Schizosaccharomyces pombe: one gene and its partners. The gene in region 1 interacts genetically with each later gene. Each region holds a gene or a part of one and is shown in the gene's direction. Other genes may lie near its edges.

Evidence for each region.
Region 2: of elg1 (region 1) and srs2, changing one suppresses a phenotype caused by changing the other (phenotypic suppression), as found in Schizosaccharomyces pombe (one study listed by BioGRID).
Region 3: of elg1 (region 1) and rfc1, extra expression of one is lethal in a mutant of the other (dosage lethality), as found in Schizosaccharomyces pombe (one study listed by BioGRID).

What each region holds. Positions count from the first base shown.
Region 1 is NC_003423.3:648,132-653,480, forward strand, and holds elg1 (DNA replication factor C complex subunit Elg1), read left to right. Parts: upstream 1-1,751; 5' UTR 1,752-1,848; coding exon 1,849-3,433; intron 3,434-3,477; coding exon 3,478-4,321; intron 4,322-4,368; coding exon 4,369-4,702; 3' UTR 4,703-4,849; downstream 4,850-5,349. Other genes in the region: protein Kms2, read right to left, coding at 6-752, 796-858; dsc1 (ubiquitin-protein ligase E3), read right to left, coding at 4,960-5,232, 5,301-5,349.
Region 2 is NC_003424.3:3,830,190-3,836,278, forward strand, and holds srs2 (UvrD subfamily ATP-dependent DNA helicase), read left to right. Parts: upstream 1-2,089; 5' UTR 2,090-2,585; coding exon 2,586-2,947; intron 2,948-3,012; coding exon 3,013-3,277; intron 3,278-3,297; exon of another isoform or gene 3,298-3,322; coding exon 3,323-3,753; exon of another isoform or gene 3,754-3,798; coding exon 3,799-5,404; 3' UTR 5,405-5,437; coding exon of another isoform or gene 5,438-5,483; 3' UTR 5,484-5,529; downstream 5,530-6,089. Other genes in the region: SPOM_SPAC4H3.04C (uncharacterized protein), read right to left, coding at 881-1,494, 1,586-1,767, 1,827-1,960; SPOM_SPAC4H3.16 (uncharacterized protein), read right to left, coding at 5,438-5,483, 5,530-5,737, 5,778-5,847. UniProt on the Schizosaccharomyces pombe protein: ATP-dependent DNA helicase involved in DNA repair at least for UV-induced lesions. Also aids the recombinational repair of camptothecin-induced collapsed replication forks.
Region 3 is NC_003423.3:3,852,073-3,858,068, reverse strand, and holds rfc1 (DNA replication factor C complex subunit Rfc1), read left to right. Parts: upstream 1-2,046; 5' UTR 2,047-2,126; coding exon 2,127-2,198; exon of another isoform or gene 2,199-2,266; coding exon 2,267-2,385; exon of another isoform or gene 2,386-2,433; coding exon 2,434-2,493; exon of another isoform or gene 2,494-2,553; coding exon 2,554-5,107; 3' UTR 5,108-5,412; downstream 5,413-5,996. Other genes in the region: rgp1 (protein sat1), read right to left, coding at 1-1,082, 1,373-1,715; rib3 (3,4-dihydroxy-2-butanone 4-phosphate synthase), read left to right, coding at 5,610-5,646, 5,695-5,812, 5,856-5,996. UniProt on the Schizosaccharomyces pombe protein: The elongation of primed DNA templates by DNA polymerase delta and epsilon requires the action of the accessory proteins PCNA and activator 1. Subunit 1 is essential for cell cycle progression.

The sequences.
Region 1 (5,349 bases):
CATACCGTTTTCCTTTCCTTTTCTACAGCATGGATTAGCTCTTCCATTCTCACAATATGGGCTTGCTGTTGCTCATACTCTTCATGAATGGTTTGTAATTGAGCTGCATACTCCTTAGAATCACGAAGAGCTTCACGAAATTTTTTCTCCCAGGTTTTCGCTTGGGTATAACAAGACTTGCAAGCTTCTTCCGAAGAATCCAATTCCTCCAATAATTTTGCATTTCGCGCGTTTAGTTCTTTAACTTGCTCGTCTTTAGAACGTAATTCTGCCGCTTGAAGCTCTATCCTTTCATAAAGCTGTTGAATTAAAGAATCATCAGCATTTTCCTTGTTTATATGAGAAAATCCTTTATTTGATCCATATTCATTTTTAGTTCGAAACATTGACAAAGGGGTTGAATGACTCAAAGGTGATCCTTTTCTTGGTGTTATGTAACTTGCGTCTTGATAAAACATATCTTTTCTCTTTATTCGATTTTCTGATATTTTTTGAGGCTTCGCTACACTTTTTCTTGGTAATACCCCATTCTCGCGCAAAGCTAATTTGTTTACAGGAAGGGTATCAGGGTCAAGACCAGTTAACTCATAAAACAAATTCTTAATTTCACTCGTAGACACTACAATCTCACTGTTATCTTTTATAAAATCTTGGGCCGATTGTCTTTGCTCATTATCAAGCAAAGGGGCCTCTGGATTAAGTCGCAATGCGTCAACATCGTCGACAATTTCTAAAAATGCTTGAATGGAAACCTGTCGAAAATTAGAAACTATTTTTCAAGTAATGAGAAATTACTTTTCCTGTATAATCTGGGTCGTATTGGCGCACAATATCGTCAAAAGGGATGTATTCATCCATTTTGATTGTTTATTGACATGTGCTTTGGTTAAACAGAATTAGTATAAAGGCAGGTTTGTTAACGATAACTTGTGCGATTTTCTTATTTTTGTAATGTAATGCAGAACAATACGTTATAGAAGTTGCCTTAAAAAAGTAAACAAAGTGCAAGTCAAAACATAAACAGGATATTTTAGCAAAATGTTGCAGTACGAAATGTATAAAATTGTTAGCAAAATCATCTTCAAAATAAATTATTTTTTACTGATTGAGTTAAAGTGGAAGGAAAGCTTTACACTTACCTTTTTTTAAAAAACAAACAAATAAATAAACAGATAAACAAATGTGATCCGTTTCTTGAATCTAGATTTACTTAATTGAAGTAAATAGACTACTTAACTTAGAAAATTTACTACAATCATAAACAAGTGAAATTCTGCTCTCCTTTATTTTACAACGATGCACAAAAAGTTAGTCAGCGTTCCGACTAATTGGCGGTAGTAGAAATAGTAATTATACAAATTCTTTAAAATTTTCTAAAAAGTATATTAGTATCAAATTTTTCTTTTGACTATTTCACTGATTATGTTAGGCTATGGATTAATAGCTATTGAACTCGGTTTTCTTTGCATGGAATAAGCAAACTCACATTAAAAGTTGGTAAGTCGTTTTTAAAAGAGATGAAAAAGCTTAACTGTGACGATTATATCTCCTACTTCTCTATTCAATTACTGACAGCTTACACATAACAATGATAATATGGAGGATCGTGTTGCTTCAATGGTGCAACGATATTTTATTTAGGAATTTCAGTAATCTAAAACATACTTAAAAATAAATAAATCTAAACTATAAGCTTATCGAATTCCCAATACTCGTTCACTAGTACACGGAGTCTTTGTCTACCTCTCCTTAACCAAACTGTTGAAAGCTGAGAAACCTGTGAAACTATTTCTAAAAATCATTCAAACTAGGACTTTTATTGAACTTATGCGGTGATTGAAGATCCCTATGCAAATTGTAGGCTATTTGTCTGCAGATTCGCAGAGTAATCCTGATTTAAAATCCGAAAATGAAGCAAAAGAAGAAAAGCCTATTGGGAGGAGACACACAATGTCACCAGTCCCTGCCACATCTGAAAATAAATATTTTGGCAAATCTCCTTTGTCAGGGTCTCGTAAACCTCGAAGAAGCCGATCACTTCATAAGGAACGTAGCTACATGAGGAAATTCTTTGATATGGATATGGAGGAAAGCAAAGACTTTGAAAATGATCAATCTTTACTAGTAACGCTTAAAGTATCGACTTCCTTGGGTCAAAAAATTGAGAATATATTACACCCAAAACTCAGCAATGATACCAACTCAACTGCCTTTCCGCCTGCTAAGTCGTCGGGAGAAGCATCAGATACTAATATTTTAGTTGAGAATATTAATTCACAGGAAACAGTTAATTCTTCCCCCCTTGTTTCCGAGTTACATTATTCAAACTTAGCAGATTCACCTAGTAATCTGCGAAATACTGTCACATCCATGCACCCGTTTTTCATGTCAAAGTCTGTGAAAAAGAATTCTGAAATCAAATTTGTAAGTGAAGAAAGAGGCGGTACTAAGCCAGAGAGGTTACTTGATCCATTATGGCCGACACCCGATTCCCAGAGTATGTTAGAGTATGCCGGCTCTATTGAGCCGAGTGTTTTCTGGTTTCCGAAAAAGCATTTAGAAGAAGCCATTTTAGAAGAGACCTCTCATCTTTCGTTTAAGGAGGTTCTTTCCTCCACCACCGCGAATATGATAACCCCATTAGCTGAGAAAAATAAAACAGAAGTATTACAGGTTACTCCTTCTAAACTTCATACTTTTGCTTTGGAATCGTTGTGCTTTTCACCGGCTCCTTTTATTCAAAAGGTTTTGTCAAGACTTTTGCCATCAGATCCTAATGTTGAAATGCCAATGATCCCACAAATATTAGAAAAAGGACTGTGGGTGTCAAAATATGCTCCATCTAAAACACAAGATTGCTGTGCGTTCTCTCAATGCCTTTCGAAGATAGCGGATTGGCTAAGGTCATGTAGGTTGACCAAACCTGAAAGCTCATCTGTACCTCCTTCATCTTCTATATCTCGATCCTCGACTATTCATTCTTGTACATCTTCTAAAAGAAATGAAGATTCTCTTTCGGAAAGTGACTTTGAACCGGATATCATTGAAGAAGAAGATGATTCCGACGAGTTCAATCCTTCTGTGTCGCGTAAAAAAGCAAAGCTTACATCTTCTCAATTTTCTAACTGGATGCTTGTTACTGGTGTTACGGGAATAGGAAAGACTTCATGCTTATATGCCATATGTCGTGAGCTTAATTTTGAAGTTGTTGAAATACACCCGGGAATGAGACGCTCGGGAAAAGAGCTGCTTGAACGGATTGGTGAGCTAACACAAAGTCATATCGTTGATAAATCTAGGCTTAATAATACTCCTGACATTCTTATCCTACTTGAAGAAGTTGATATTTTATTTCAGGACGATCGTGGCTTTTGGCAAGCAGTCTCTACTTTAATTGAAAAATCTAAACGTCCTGTTGTCATGACTTGTAATGGTAGGGAGAATGTTTTAGTTTTTCCACTACTAACATAATTTTAGAAACTGATTTTTTACCTTCTGCCTTTCTTCAGGAAGACCACATTGTGCAATTTCAGTCCATCTCTTCTGCCTTGCTAACCGACTATATTTCTAGTGTATTGTATGCTGATCGTTGCATCATATCAAGAAATGTTGTTGAATCAATAAGCTACAGATATGGTTCTGATTTGCGAGGTATACTAATGCAATTAAACTTTTGGTCCCTTGTAAATTTCCCTTCTTTGCCTTCTAAAGATAAGCAAGATGATTCTCATGAACCATTTATTGAGGCAACTATTTCTGCCTTTGATGAAGGCGTTGGAGTTTACAACCCACGAATTCAAACTAGTGAAGATTTACTGCAAACGTATTCTGAGGAACAAATGGGAGATATTGGGTTACTGTTCATGCCGAATTTAGTAAATTGGAGAAAAGTTTGCGTCCCAAAGTCTGAAATGGAAGAGAAGGAAGCAATTATGGAAAAATTAATTTACAGCCATCAATACGCGGACTCTCTCTCTTATGTAGATTACCGCTTTAGCTCTCAACCCACTATTTATGAGACTTATGAGTTAATGAATGATTCCGCGTCATTTGAAGATATGAGTTTGGAATGTCGGGATAATTGCGCTAACGCGTTTCAAGATAATCTTGTGGGATTTCCAACGATTTCGAATCCCTTTCATGCCAACGCTCCTCCCGAACCCCATGAATTAAAGCTTCAATACCATTCATTTTGCTTTATTAATAACTTATTTTCAAAAAGCTCTTTGAAAGCTATTTCCAGTAACGATAGCATTGTTCCAAAAGCTCTCAATAACCGTGAATTACAGCTATCTGCATTAGCGTCAACTATAGGTTACAAGTACGGTTACAAAAAAAATAGAAAATCTTACTTACTGTTTAATTTAGACTTGATCCGGATGATGTTTATAACATTCTTTCGTTTTTATCATTTGCTAATTCACAGGTCACCTCTTATACCCCCCCTAACAGCATTGACCGTCCTAATGACATTTTGATCCTTGAAGTTGCACCCTTTGTTCGTTGTATGCGAAGATATGATCGCATTCGTCTAAACAGCTATAAGTTGCTTCTCTCATCGAAAGGTCGTTCAGCATCTCATATATCGAGAAGAGGTGCAGCGAGTATATTACGGAGCGCTGGATATAACTATGGACGACTACAATATCTAGAAGGTAGCGACCGCATACTGTCTACTTGGTTTTCAACAACTCTAGATTAGCTTCTACATTTCCATTTTATTTTAAAAAACAACTCCTCCAGTTGAAACCAAAATAAGTTTCACTGTTTCTGTATATAGTGTATACTACTGAATATATCAAATCTTTACATTTATGATATTCAATAAAATTTATTTTATTTACTAAAATTTGCATTAAACGCATTACGTTGCACAATATGAACATCATTAAAACAAACAAAGAGCTTAGTAAGTCATTCGCTATGGATTTCTAAACCATAACTCATCAAATCATTACATTAAACGGCGGGAAGATGGCAGCGGCACACGGGACAAATACTTCTAGTTTCCATCCACTGTAGTAAGCATTGCCGATGGTAGAGATGGTGACAAGGTGTAAGCATGTAATTTCGTCTTACCATCATAGAGGCAGGATTTAAAGTAGATCCAGTGGAGACAAGCTCGATAGGTTGCATGCAAATTGGACAAACATTTGCATCTCTCATAAAGGCCTCCAAATCATCTTGTTGAATAACAGGATGATAGTCATAAACTGGGCTTGAAAGAAAGAACTAAAATTGAGTTAGCATTTTAAAAACATTAGAGCTTCAAATGCTCGGTTTAAAAAGTGTTGGCTTACCTTTTTAGGGAGAAAGAATCTCGGTCCCAATGTGTCTTGAACAAGCAGG
Region 2 (6,089 bases), on another chromosome or scaffold:
CTTAACCAAAGATATGGTTAGTTTTAAGTATTAATAACTAGGTTGAAATTTTTCTAACTTAATTGATGAATATTAATTCTTTGTATACTATCTTGAGAATCAGTAATCTCAGGGCTGAGAAAATACTCTGCCGGTAGACACTATACGGTACTTCTTAAACGTTTAAATAAAAGTAATTTATACAACAAATGTCTACGGCCATACCTAGGCGAAAACACCAGTTCCCGTCCGATCACTGCAGTTAAGCGTCTGAGGGCCTCGTTAGTACTATGGTTGGAGACAACATGGGAATCCGGGGTGCTGTAGGCTTCCTTTTATTCATTTTTTTTTTGTTTGTTTTTGTGTTAATTTATTGTTAAACATGAAATTTTTGTATTGAAATTTTGTCTTGAACTCGTTGAGGCTGTATAATTTTCAAGCAAAGCTGGAAAGCATACTAGTTTAGAAGGTTATGCACATGCATGAATTGACTTTGATAATATAATAATGTTTTCGTTACTAATCGTGTAAAAGAAATTTGTTCAGAATATCAAAAACAGTAGTTTTATACATAGTAGAAAGATTTAAAAATTGATTAATTCTCAAGAGAGACCAATTGATACATACAGAAAACAAAAAAATTATATAAATGGAAAAGGGTATGTTTCGTAAATGTTGCAATTGAGAAATAAAGCGCATTTCATTTATCGTAATTTGCCTAGATCAGAAAAAGCATTGCAAAATTAGCCTCCTGAGTATGAATCTGATGATAATAACTAACAAACACAGGTTGCATAATACATGTTCCGATAATTTTCGGCTCTCAAATACTTAAATATATGATCGTTTCGCATCAGCCGTTTCAAGTCATGAAAAAAATAATAATAAAATATCAACAATACTATGCGGTTGCGGTTGCATAGCTAACGCTGCTATCGGTGACCAATTCAACATGGCTACTTTGAGCGTACGAAATAAACTTGAATCTTTCAGAGAAATTGGCGCATTCCATAGATTTCATAATGAGTTCTATAGGGTAACGGCCGCATATGGTGTTTTGAGTGGTTTTCAAATACTCTGAAAAGTCATCACTACTTTTCGTTTCAATAATTTTCATACCAATATGATCCAAATTAGATATAGACTCATAAATTTTGGGACTAGTGGGGCCACCTCGTCTTTTGTATTTTAAGACTGCATCCTCTAATTGATTCGTATCGTTCAAATAAAGGGTATATCCAAATCTTCTTCCCCAATGACAAAAATCGGAAGATATAACAAATGAATTTGATTCATCTTTAATATACTGACTCAGAAATTTCGCTGCTGCCATCATTGTGGTTGAAGTTAAGGCACCTATCATGATAGGAACAATTTTGACTTTTCCCAAGCATCCTTGTTTCAGCAAATGAAAAGCTAAAAGAGGGAATTGCATTTCGAGGCTATGTTCACTTTCATCCACATCCAAGGTCATTGAGTCGAAGCTGTTATCGCTAGCGACGAGTTTCTGACATACTATATAAATTTCCAGTTAGCAAATAATCTGTGCTGAGAAATAGACAGTAGCAATTTAGTAAAACTACTAAGCAAAACTGTTTTCACATACAGTCTTCATCCACTTTCAAATCACCTAAAGGTGTTGAGCAGATGCTAGCTCGACTGACTAGGCATTTTCTAGTAAAGATGTGATGAGAAGGCCCAAAAACAAAAACTCTCTGAATTTTCGAAAAGTCCAATTGCTGAAATCCTTGGGATGCGACTTTCCCACTATACATGTAACCAGCATGTCTGCTCAATATTTAGCTATATACTGAATATCACATAAATTATAAGTTGTCTATACGTACGGTGAAATGACAAACCGTTTCCCAGTCTCGGGCGTTGGGTTTTTGATAAATGATTTTAATTGCTTAGTTAGTAATTCTGTATCATCCAAATACCAAGATCCTGCATGAGTTGCTTCACGAATGGCTTGTGACATGAGATAAATTGAAGAATAATATTGATACGTTCAAATTGTAATTCGGTTTGTGATGTTCGTTTGACAATGGGTATTATTTTCTGAACAACACACTGTTACATATATCTTGCTTTCTTGCCTTCATCATTTGCGTTTTGCTGCACTAACACCACTTTTGGGAGGTCGAAACACAAGACTAAGACAATCGCAAAATCAGGTTTTCACACAATAAAATCATTACTTAAGAATACTGAATTGAAAGGCTTTCATTTGTTATACGTTCACGATTTACTCAAATTTCTTGTAGTAAAAACAGGTGGATTAAAATCTTTTTCGTATCCGTGTATCAGCCCTTTCGCGCTGGTAGGTCAATCGAGAATACTAAGAAATTGCAAGTGTTGTTTTCAACTAAATAAGGGTTGATCTTCTAAATTATTTCACCTATGCTATGCTTTCGTTAAAATAATAAGTATTTGTTAATTTTCTTAGTTTGACGTGTCATCGTTTCACAATTTAATATTTATTACCCGACAACTCATCGGAAAAGACCGTGTTTGGCCAAAAATCTTTGCATTGTTTTCCTATTTCTCACTTTTTTAAAATATACATTTGAAGCTGTCGGTTGAGTGTTTTGTTCTTCTCAATTATGGAAACGAAATCATCATACTTGAAGTTTCTGAATGAAGAACAAAGGATTAGTGTTCAGAGTCCTCATAAGTATACTCAAATTTTAGCCGGTCCTGGGTCTGGAAAAACCCGTGTTCTTACCGCTCGAGTAGCCTATTTACTTCAAAAGAACCATATTGCAGCCGAAGATTTAATTATAGCCACCTTTACGAACAAAGCCGCAAATGAAATAAAGCTCAGAATTGAAGCTATTTTGGGGAATAGTGAAGCCTCTAAGCTTATTTCTGGGACGTTTCATTCTATAGCGTACAAGTATTTGGTTAAATATGGCAAGCATATAGGGCTATCCTCAAATTGGTTGATTGCTGACAGAAATGATACGTATGTCTTGTTTACACTTTTCTAACTTTTACTTCTCCACTTTCAACCATTGCTGATCTATTTAGTCAAGCTATTATGAAGCGACTTTTAGACTCTCTCAAGAAAGCTAAAAATCCGATTGCTTCTGGTATTAGAGGACAAGAATTGACTCCTCAGAATGCTCTAAATCGCATAACTAAATTAAAGTCCAACGGTCTTCTTGTTAAACCTGGAATGGATCAGTTGAGTTTGATTAATGGTCTGGAAGAACCACCTAAAGAGCTTCAAAGCCATCAATCTGTTGAATTGTATAGACTTTATCAAACTTCCTTATGGAAGAACAATTTAGCGGTACGTAACAAGCATAAAGTTGTATGTATATATCTAACTATTTAGGATTTTGATGATTTGCTTTTAAACTTTATTTTATTACTTCAAAAGCAACCAGATTGTGTGAGGAATATAAAACATATTTTAATCGATGAATTTCAAGATACTAGCAAAATCCAATATTTTCTTGTTAAGCTTTTGGCATTGCAAAATTCAGATATCACGATTGTTGGCGATCCCGATCAATCAATCTATGGATTTCGAAGTGCTGAAATTAGGAACTTAAACCAAATGTCTGAAGACTTTGAAGGTACCCAAGTGCTTCATTTGGAAAGAAATTACCGTTCAGCTAAACCTATACTTGAATTAGCACTGTCTATCATTTCACAGGACAAAAGCAGGCCTAAGAAGGGGCTCAAAAGTAATCACATCTCTTCCTTAAAGCCTCATTACCGATTGTTTGAAACTAACAATAAAGAATCTTACTGGATCGCAAGGTTCGTATGGCTTCATTGCATGAAAGTTTACTAACGATTCTTTAGAGAAATTAAACGTATAGTAGGTTCTTGTCCAGAGCTTATATTTTATAACGATATCGCAATCCTTGTAAGGTCCTCCAGCCTTACAAGAAGTTTAGAACATGCACTTTCCGAACTTGGTGTGCCCTACCGCATGGTTGGAGTTAACAAGTTTTTTGATAGAGAAGAGATTCGAGACTTAATAGCTTACTTGAGAGTCCTAGCTAACAAAGATTCGACTTCTTTAATTCGTGTCATCAATGTCCCTCCTAGAAATATTGGCAAAACAAAAATCGACCGTATTATTTTCGAAAGTGAAAGAAGAGGATTGACCTTTTGGCAAACTTTAAATGAAGTAAAGAATGAAAATATTTTACTTTCTCAAAGAAATGACAAGAGTTTTCTAAAGTCTTTAAAGTCTTTTCTTTGTTCAATCTCCAAACTTGAAAATCGTTACTTGTCTAATGGGCACTCAGCAACTCTTAGTGATTTACTTTTGGGAATACTTTCTGAGATTAAATATTACGAATACCTGGTTCGGAAAAATAAAGAAACTGTCGAAGAAAAATGGGAAAATGTAATGGAGCTTGTACAACAAAGCGATAACATATCTTGTATATTCTATGAATTAGATTACAAAATATCAACAATTGTTCTATTGCAGAATTTTTTGACTCAAATCGCTCTTGTGAATGAAGAACAGAAAGAGGGCGAATCTCAGAAGGTTACCATTTCAACCCTTCACGCAGCTAAGGGTTTAGAGTGGCCTGTTGTATTTTTACCTTGTCTTTGTGAAAATATTATCCCTCATTCTCGTTCAGACGACCTCGACGAGGAAAGAAGGCTGCTATATGTCGGTGCCACACGTGCACAGGCGCTACTGTATCTATCTTCCTTTAAAAGCGTCACTGGAATGTTTGCAGATATGCAGAACTCAGACAATGTACAGGACGTCAGTCCATTTTTAAAAGGAGAAGAAATGAAAAGATGGGTGATGGAAAGTGAAATAGTTTTTAATGAAAAGATTGCTTCTGAAATTGGAACCATATTGGGTCGGAAATCTTATGGGAAAATAACTAATTTAAGCGGTATTGGTTCAAATGCAAATCATAACGGAACTAAATTCGAAAACTTGGGCTTCCAATGCTGTCGTGTTCTAGCTGAGGCAGAATTGAAAAAGAGAGAACGAGTCAAAAGTGTCAATGACTATAATAAAGATGAAACAAATTTTAGAAAACATAATGCCAAGAGATCGAAAACCGATATACGAAGTTGGTTTGAGAAAAAACAACCAATCGATTCAGATGTAGAGATTTCTGAGCCGTCAAGGTCCGCAAGCATAATGGTTGCAAATAAAGATTTAAATGATCGAAGTTTTGAAACTGTCAATCGTATTGTATCGACAAGAGCCTCAACGACAAACGCTTCTTTCATGAGCAGCGTCAGACAAAATCTTGGTAGAGGTCCTTCTACGAAAGATCAGGTAATAAATAGAACGTTGAGGGAAGGTCACCAAGATGTTGTGCAACATACTGACCTTAATCAATCAAATACTAAGGTCGCGAGTGCCCGTCCTGCTGGTTCGAGAAAACGATTGGGTGTAAGGCTACGAGTTTCACGAATGTTATAGTCATATCATGTTGTACAAAATCACGTATTATATTTATAGACAATCTAAACACCTTGCTACGGTGTTTTCTTTAAAATACCTACATATAATGTCAGCTTGAAAATAGATACAGATAATAAACTTACATTAGAGTACTACAGTTTCGACAAATATTTCGTTGGCAGCGATCACATGTAGAAAGATATAATACGTTATCACAAAATTCGCAAACACCGGTAGATGAAGGCAGATGGTCATTGTCAGTAACAAAATTAACCTTTTCATTTAAAACGATAGAAGAGGCATCATGGGCATTACTTTTTTTGCTTGCAAACAAACTAAGAAAAGATCTCACTTAGAAGCTTAGTAAAAAATCGCTAAATTCTTCACTTACTATCCAAATGATTTTTACACTTCTTTCTTGGTAACCTACTAGGAACATGTTCAGAACGACATCTTTTCATAGCTAAATCTCGGATACTTCGAGTTTCAAAAAAATGTGACACGTTGTTCTACCCTCTTAAAGCCTTATCGAGGTGTTGTTTTGTTTTTGTGGAACGCGGACTAGATGGCTAGTGCATGGTCTAATGGACTGTACAGGAATGGTCAAATAGGCGATACTTCTTGTCAAAATATAGCACTAAATGCATTTTTGAACCCTGTATATATTCGAAAAAAATACAAATCGTCCTTATTAATACATTTC
Region 3 (5,996 bases), 3.2 Mb from region 1:
TCTACCTTCACTCACCCTCTGTACTTCTTCACTGTATCTCGATCGACTCGGACTCTGCACCTCTTCACTATATCGGGGATGCGCCGGTCCCTGCATCTCACGTTTCTTGTTCACCGCCCTTAACAATTCCACCCGCAAAAAGTGTTCCACTCCAAATTGCTGTGTTTCAAATGTTTCCGGACATTCCTCCGGCACAACCATCGAAGCGCTCATGTTTTCCAACTCAAACACTCCCCGTGTAATTCTACACCACACTTTTCGCGTCGCCCTCTCCGTCCCTACGCTGTTGCGTATACGGATGTCTGGCACAATACGCTCCACACTTTCAAGTTGCATATGCACTTGTCGAACCATCGCGTCCAGTCCTTCTAGCTCAATCATCATCATCTCTCCTGTCCGATATCTGCTTTTGCTCAAAAGCAATCGACATAACACTTTTTGTTTGCTTGTAATCTCAAACCTCGTGGCCATTGGTTGCTTGGATTCGAGTTTTTTTAACAACGCAATTTTTTCTTCATCCTCTTCCTCTAATACTTCTTCATTGATCTCTGACCTCATTCCATGATCTTGGAATTCTCCTCCTCCCTCTTCATTAGACTCTCCATCAAGTAGCTTTTTTATGTGTTGCTCGTATTTCTTTTTTTGCTTCTCTTCCTCCTGCGCATCCTGCGAAAGTCGTATACCGTTTTTACCGAATTGCCTACGTGCTTTCTCTGCTGAAACCTCTTCAATTTCTGCCGCATCTGTTTCAATAATCGGTTTGGATAAATCTGCAAACAGCTTCGAGGATTGTCTGTTTCCCGAATTCTTTCCGAGTGGCAGTTCAGGTTGCTGTTGAACGTTGGGTACTATAGTAATTTCAAATTCATGCTCTACACAAGCATTGTTGGTAGCTGATTGGACTCCTATGACCAGTGCGTGTTGAAATCGAAAGGCCAATCCTTTATATGTAGGTGCTGTTCGAAGGGGAATTCTTCGCTTCAACCGAAAGCATTTTTCCTCTCCAGGAGAAAGCGTGATATCGACTCCTAATATATCTGGACGAGTCAGTAGCACTGGAATGGCATTTTCCTGCTTTTGTTCTTTATCGGTTAGTATTCATGCTTAAGCAGTAGGTTGCAGTAAAAATAAGAGTAACCATCTTCCAAAAAAAAAAAAAAAAAAAAAAAAAATTGAATAAAGAGTAAATATGTTTCAAATGAATTACAAAACTCTTCCCAGACAACCTTTCTGTAATTCGTCAATTGACTTTATGTCCACCTCACCGTATAAGCACTCTTCCGAGCTATATCTTCCCTCCAAATGTAAGCCAATTGAGAGATTTTTTTTACCAAGTCTTTATTTCCTTTTGCACCCTTTCACCATTACATACCTGAGGCCTCTGTCAATGTACTTGCTTGTTTAACTCCAAATAAATTTCCAATCATCCCGTTCAGAGTATTAATAACAGAATAACTGCTGGATACCTTGGGAATATGTACTAATCCGCTCATTGTCCTTTTGTTTAAGAGCCCCTGCCTCTGAACCTCATCGAATTCTGTAACGCGCACCAGTACATAGTCAAGGTACATTTCACCATGGATAGAAGCATAGCACAAAAGTAAATTTACATCTTCTGAACTCCTTAGATTCGTGAATTTTACAATGCACTCAAAGTCAGTTCCGGATTGAACTACATTCACTGGCATGTACATTTGCACATCACATTCTGTCATTGTCGAACACCACTAAACTCTTATATTCGATAATTTCTCAAGCCGCTGGCTTCAGCTTTACCTTAATAATAACCATACAACTTGGATTTCTTCATTCGTATTGACGAACGTTTATTAGTCTCGTAACAAATGCACAATCAAAATAGTACTGTAAAAGAGCCCACTTTTCTTCCTCCACGACTCATTTTACGAGATTAAATAACGAACGCCCACAATCAATTTTTTACACTCTCCTTACTATTCCTTAATTTACTCATTTACGAATGTTTTAACGAAGCTTTGTTAACTCTCTGCTTTTGGCAAATTGTCACATTCCTTGCTATTGTCGCCCAATATACATACATACACTGCTTTTTTGGAAGTTAGACAGTAGCTTCTCAGGAATTGGGTAATTGTTATTCATCGTCGGAAATGAGTAATTCTGACATTCGAAGCTTCTTTGGAGGAGGGAACGCTCAAAAAAAGCCAAAAGTCTCACCGACTGTATGTTTGTTTCTTCAATCAGTCAAATTTGATAAGCTAGTCATTCATTTTCTAACGTCTTTGTCTAGCCTACTTCCCCAAAACCAAAAAGGAGTTTGAAGAAAAAAAGAATCGTTTTATCAGATGATGAAGATGGTACAATAGAGAATTCAAAAGTTCCTGCATCCAAAAGCAAAGTGCAAAAACGGTTCGTTTAATTCGGGTTATCAGTTTATATTTCTAACCCTCCAACTAGTAATGAGTCGGAAGATATTTCCCATTCTTTGCCATCCATTGTTCATGAAGACGATAAACTGTATGTTTATTTTACTTTTACCTCATTATGCGTTGTTCGCTAATTTGAATTTTTGTTTAGTGTCGGTTCAGATGGAGTTTCAACTACACCTGATGAGTACTTTGAACAACAGTCTACTCGGTCACGTTCTAAACCGCGGATTATCTCCAATAAAGAAACTACTACTTCCAAAGATGTCGTACATCCTGTAAAAACAGAAAATTTTGCCAATGACTTGGATACCACTTCAGACAGTAAGCCAGTTGTCCATCAAACTAGAGCTACACGTAAACCTGCTCAACCTAAAGCAGAAAAATCGACAACTTCAAAGTCAAAATCTCATACCACAACTGCGACAACTCACACAAGTCGTTCTAGCAAGTCGAAAGGCTTACCTAGGTTCTCAGACGAAGTTTCCCAAGCCCTCAAAAATGTTCCTTTAATTGACGTAGACTCTATGGGTGTGATGGCTCCAGGTACTTTCTATGAACGGGCGGCTACAACACAAACTCCAGGCTCAAAACCCGTCCCTGAAGGCAATAGCGATTGTCTCTCGGGAATTAGCTTTGTTATTACAGGAATTCTAGAGACTTTAACTAGACAAGAGGCTACAGACCTGATCAAACAATATGGTGGAAAAGTGACAGGTGCACCTTCTGTTAGAACAGACTTTATTCTCTTAGGTGAGAATGCTGGTCCAAGAAAAGTGGAAACAATTAAACAACACAAGATTCCTGCTATTAACGAGGATGGACTCTTCTATCTTATAACTCATCTTCCTGCTTCAGGAGGAACGGGTGCTGCGGCTCAGGCTGCTCAACAGAAAAAGGAACAAGAAGAAAAGAAAATCCTTGAAACTGTTGCGAGAATGGACGATAGTAATAAAAAGGAATCACAACCTTCACAGATATGGACTTCAAAATATGCGCCAACTTCTTTAAAGGATATTTGTGGTAATAAGGGTGTCGTTCAAAAACTTCAAAAGTGGCTACAGGATTACCACAAAAACAGGAAGTCCAACTTTAATAAACCTGGACCTGATGGTCTGGGTCTATACAAAGCCGTATTACTCTCTGGTCCTCCAGGTATTGGCAAGACGACTGCTGCTCATTTGGTAGCAAAATTAGAAGGTTACGATGTTTTGGAACTGAACGCTAGTGACACTAGAAGCAAGCGCTTGCTAGATGAGCAGCTGTTCGGTGTGACAGATAGTCAATCACTTGCCGGCTACTTTGGCACAAAAGCTAACCCCGTTGACATGGCAAAGTCCCGACTTGTACTCATTATGGACGAAATCGATGGCATGTCATCGGGTGATCGTGGAGGCGTTGGTCAGTTGAATATGATTATTAAAAAAAGCATGATACCAATTATTTGTATTTGCAATGACCGTGCTCATCCAAAGCTGCGGCCCCTTGACCGTACTACGTTTGACCTCCGTTTCCGTCGGCCAGATGCTAATTCAATGCGATCCCGAATAATGTCTATAGCGTATCGTGAAGGTCTCAAATTGTCACCACAAGCAGTCGATCAACTGGTTCAGGGGACGCAGTCCGATATGCGCCAAATTATTAATTTGCTATCCACTTACAAGTTAAGCTGTTCAGAAATGACACCTCAAAATAGCCAAGCTGTTATTAAAAATTCTGAAAAGCATATCGTTATGAAACCATGGGATATCTGTAGTCGTTACTTACATGGAGGAATGTTTCATCCATCAAGCAAGTCCACCATTAATGATAAATTAGAGCTGTATTTTAATGATCACGAATTTTCTTATCTTATGGTTCAAGAAAACTACCTTAATACTACACCAGATAGAATTCGTCAAGAACCACCGAAAATGTCACATTTGAAGCATTTAGAATTAATATCTAGTGCTGCTAACTCCTTTTCCGACTCTGATCTTGTTGATTCAATGATTCATGGTCCTCAACAACACTGGTCACTTATGCCAACCCATGCTCTTATGTCTTGCGTGCGACCTGCTTCTTTCGTGGCTGGTTCCGGTTCCAGGCAGATTCGCTTTACTAATTGGTTGGGTAATAACTCGAAGACAAATAAATTATATCGTATGCTTCGTGAGATACAAGTACACATGCGTTTAAAAGTATCCGCTAATAAATTGGACTTGCGGCAGCATTATATTCCAATATTGTATGAGTCTCTGCCTGTAAAGCTATCAACAGGCCATTCAGACGTCGTTCCAGAAATCATTGAATTGATGGATGAATATTATCTAAATCGTGAAGATTTTGATTCAATAACGGAATTAGTTCTTCCTGCAGATGCAGGTGAGAAACTCATGAAAACCATACCGACTGCTGCAAAATCTGCATTCACAAGAAAATACAATTCTTCGAGTCACCCCATCGCCTTCTTTGGAAGTAGTGATGTTTTACCTATGAAGGGCTCTGCTCAGCGCGAAGTGCCGGATGTCGAAGATGCAATTGAAGCCGAAGATGAGATGTTAGAAGAAGCTAGTGACTCAGAGGCTGCTAATGAAGAGGACATAGATTTAAGCAAAGACAAATTTATTTCGGTACCAAAGAAACCTAAAAAAAGGACTAAGGCAAAGGCTGAAGCGTCCTCTTCTAGCTCAACCAGTCGCCGATCCAGAAAAAAGACAGCTTAAAAAGCTCTGAAAATATTACTTTTACGGATTGTATATGAGTTATCGGGATTATATTGCTGAGTAAGTGAAATTTGCGAATACTTTTCAATTACTTTGCAACAATAGTAAATAATATAGATTTTTTGGTGGATTTTACAGTTCTGGTAAGATATGCTCAAATTTTCTTAATCTTAAATGTGTGTTCTTTTGTCCGTTACATACTTTAATGTTTATAAGATATATTATATCATATTTAGCATGACCGTATTTGCAAGGTTAGATTTAAAAATTCGGTGAGTGGTATTTTCAATAAAGCTATCGTGAACCATATCATTTGTAATTGAGTCAGTAAAATAAAAGCTAATTGACAGGCGGTTTAAAATGTATAAAATTATTTTTATTATTAATAATTATATCGTTTCATCTAAGTACGCTACATTGCTGTGTTAACTATCAGAGTTATGGTGAGCTAAGTGCTTAGTAAACTTAGCAGAGAGCATCTGAAAAGCTGCCAAATACCAGAATGCTTGCATCAATTGAGGAAGCAGTGAATGACTTTCGTAAGCATATTTCTTTTTAAAAAGATAAAACGCTAATATCATGACAAGGGGATGGAAAGTTTTTAATAGTGTTAGACGATGAAACGCGTGAAAACGAAGGAGATCTGATTATTGCAGGTTGCAAAGTTACTACCGAACAAATGGCATTCTTAGTCAGGCATTCTAGGTATGCAAAACGACATGGAATTGTTTGAAATGCTAATAAATAGTGGGTATGTCTGCGTACCCATGACTGGTGAACGTTTGGATTCTCTAGAAATTCCTATGATGGTAGATAATAACGAGGATCGTATGCGAACAGCATATGCAGTTACTTTGGATTATGCCAACGGTACTACCACTGGAATATC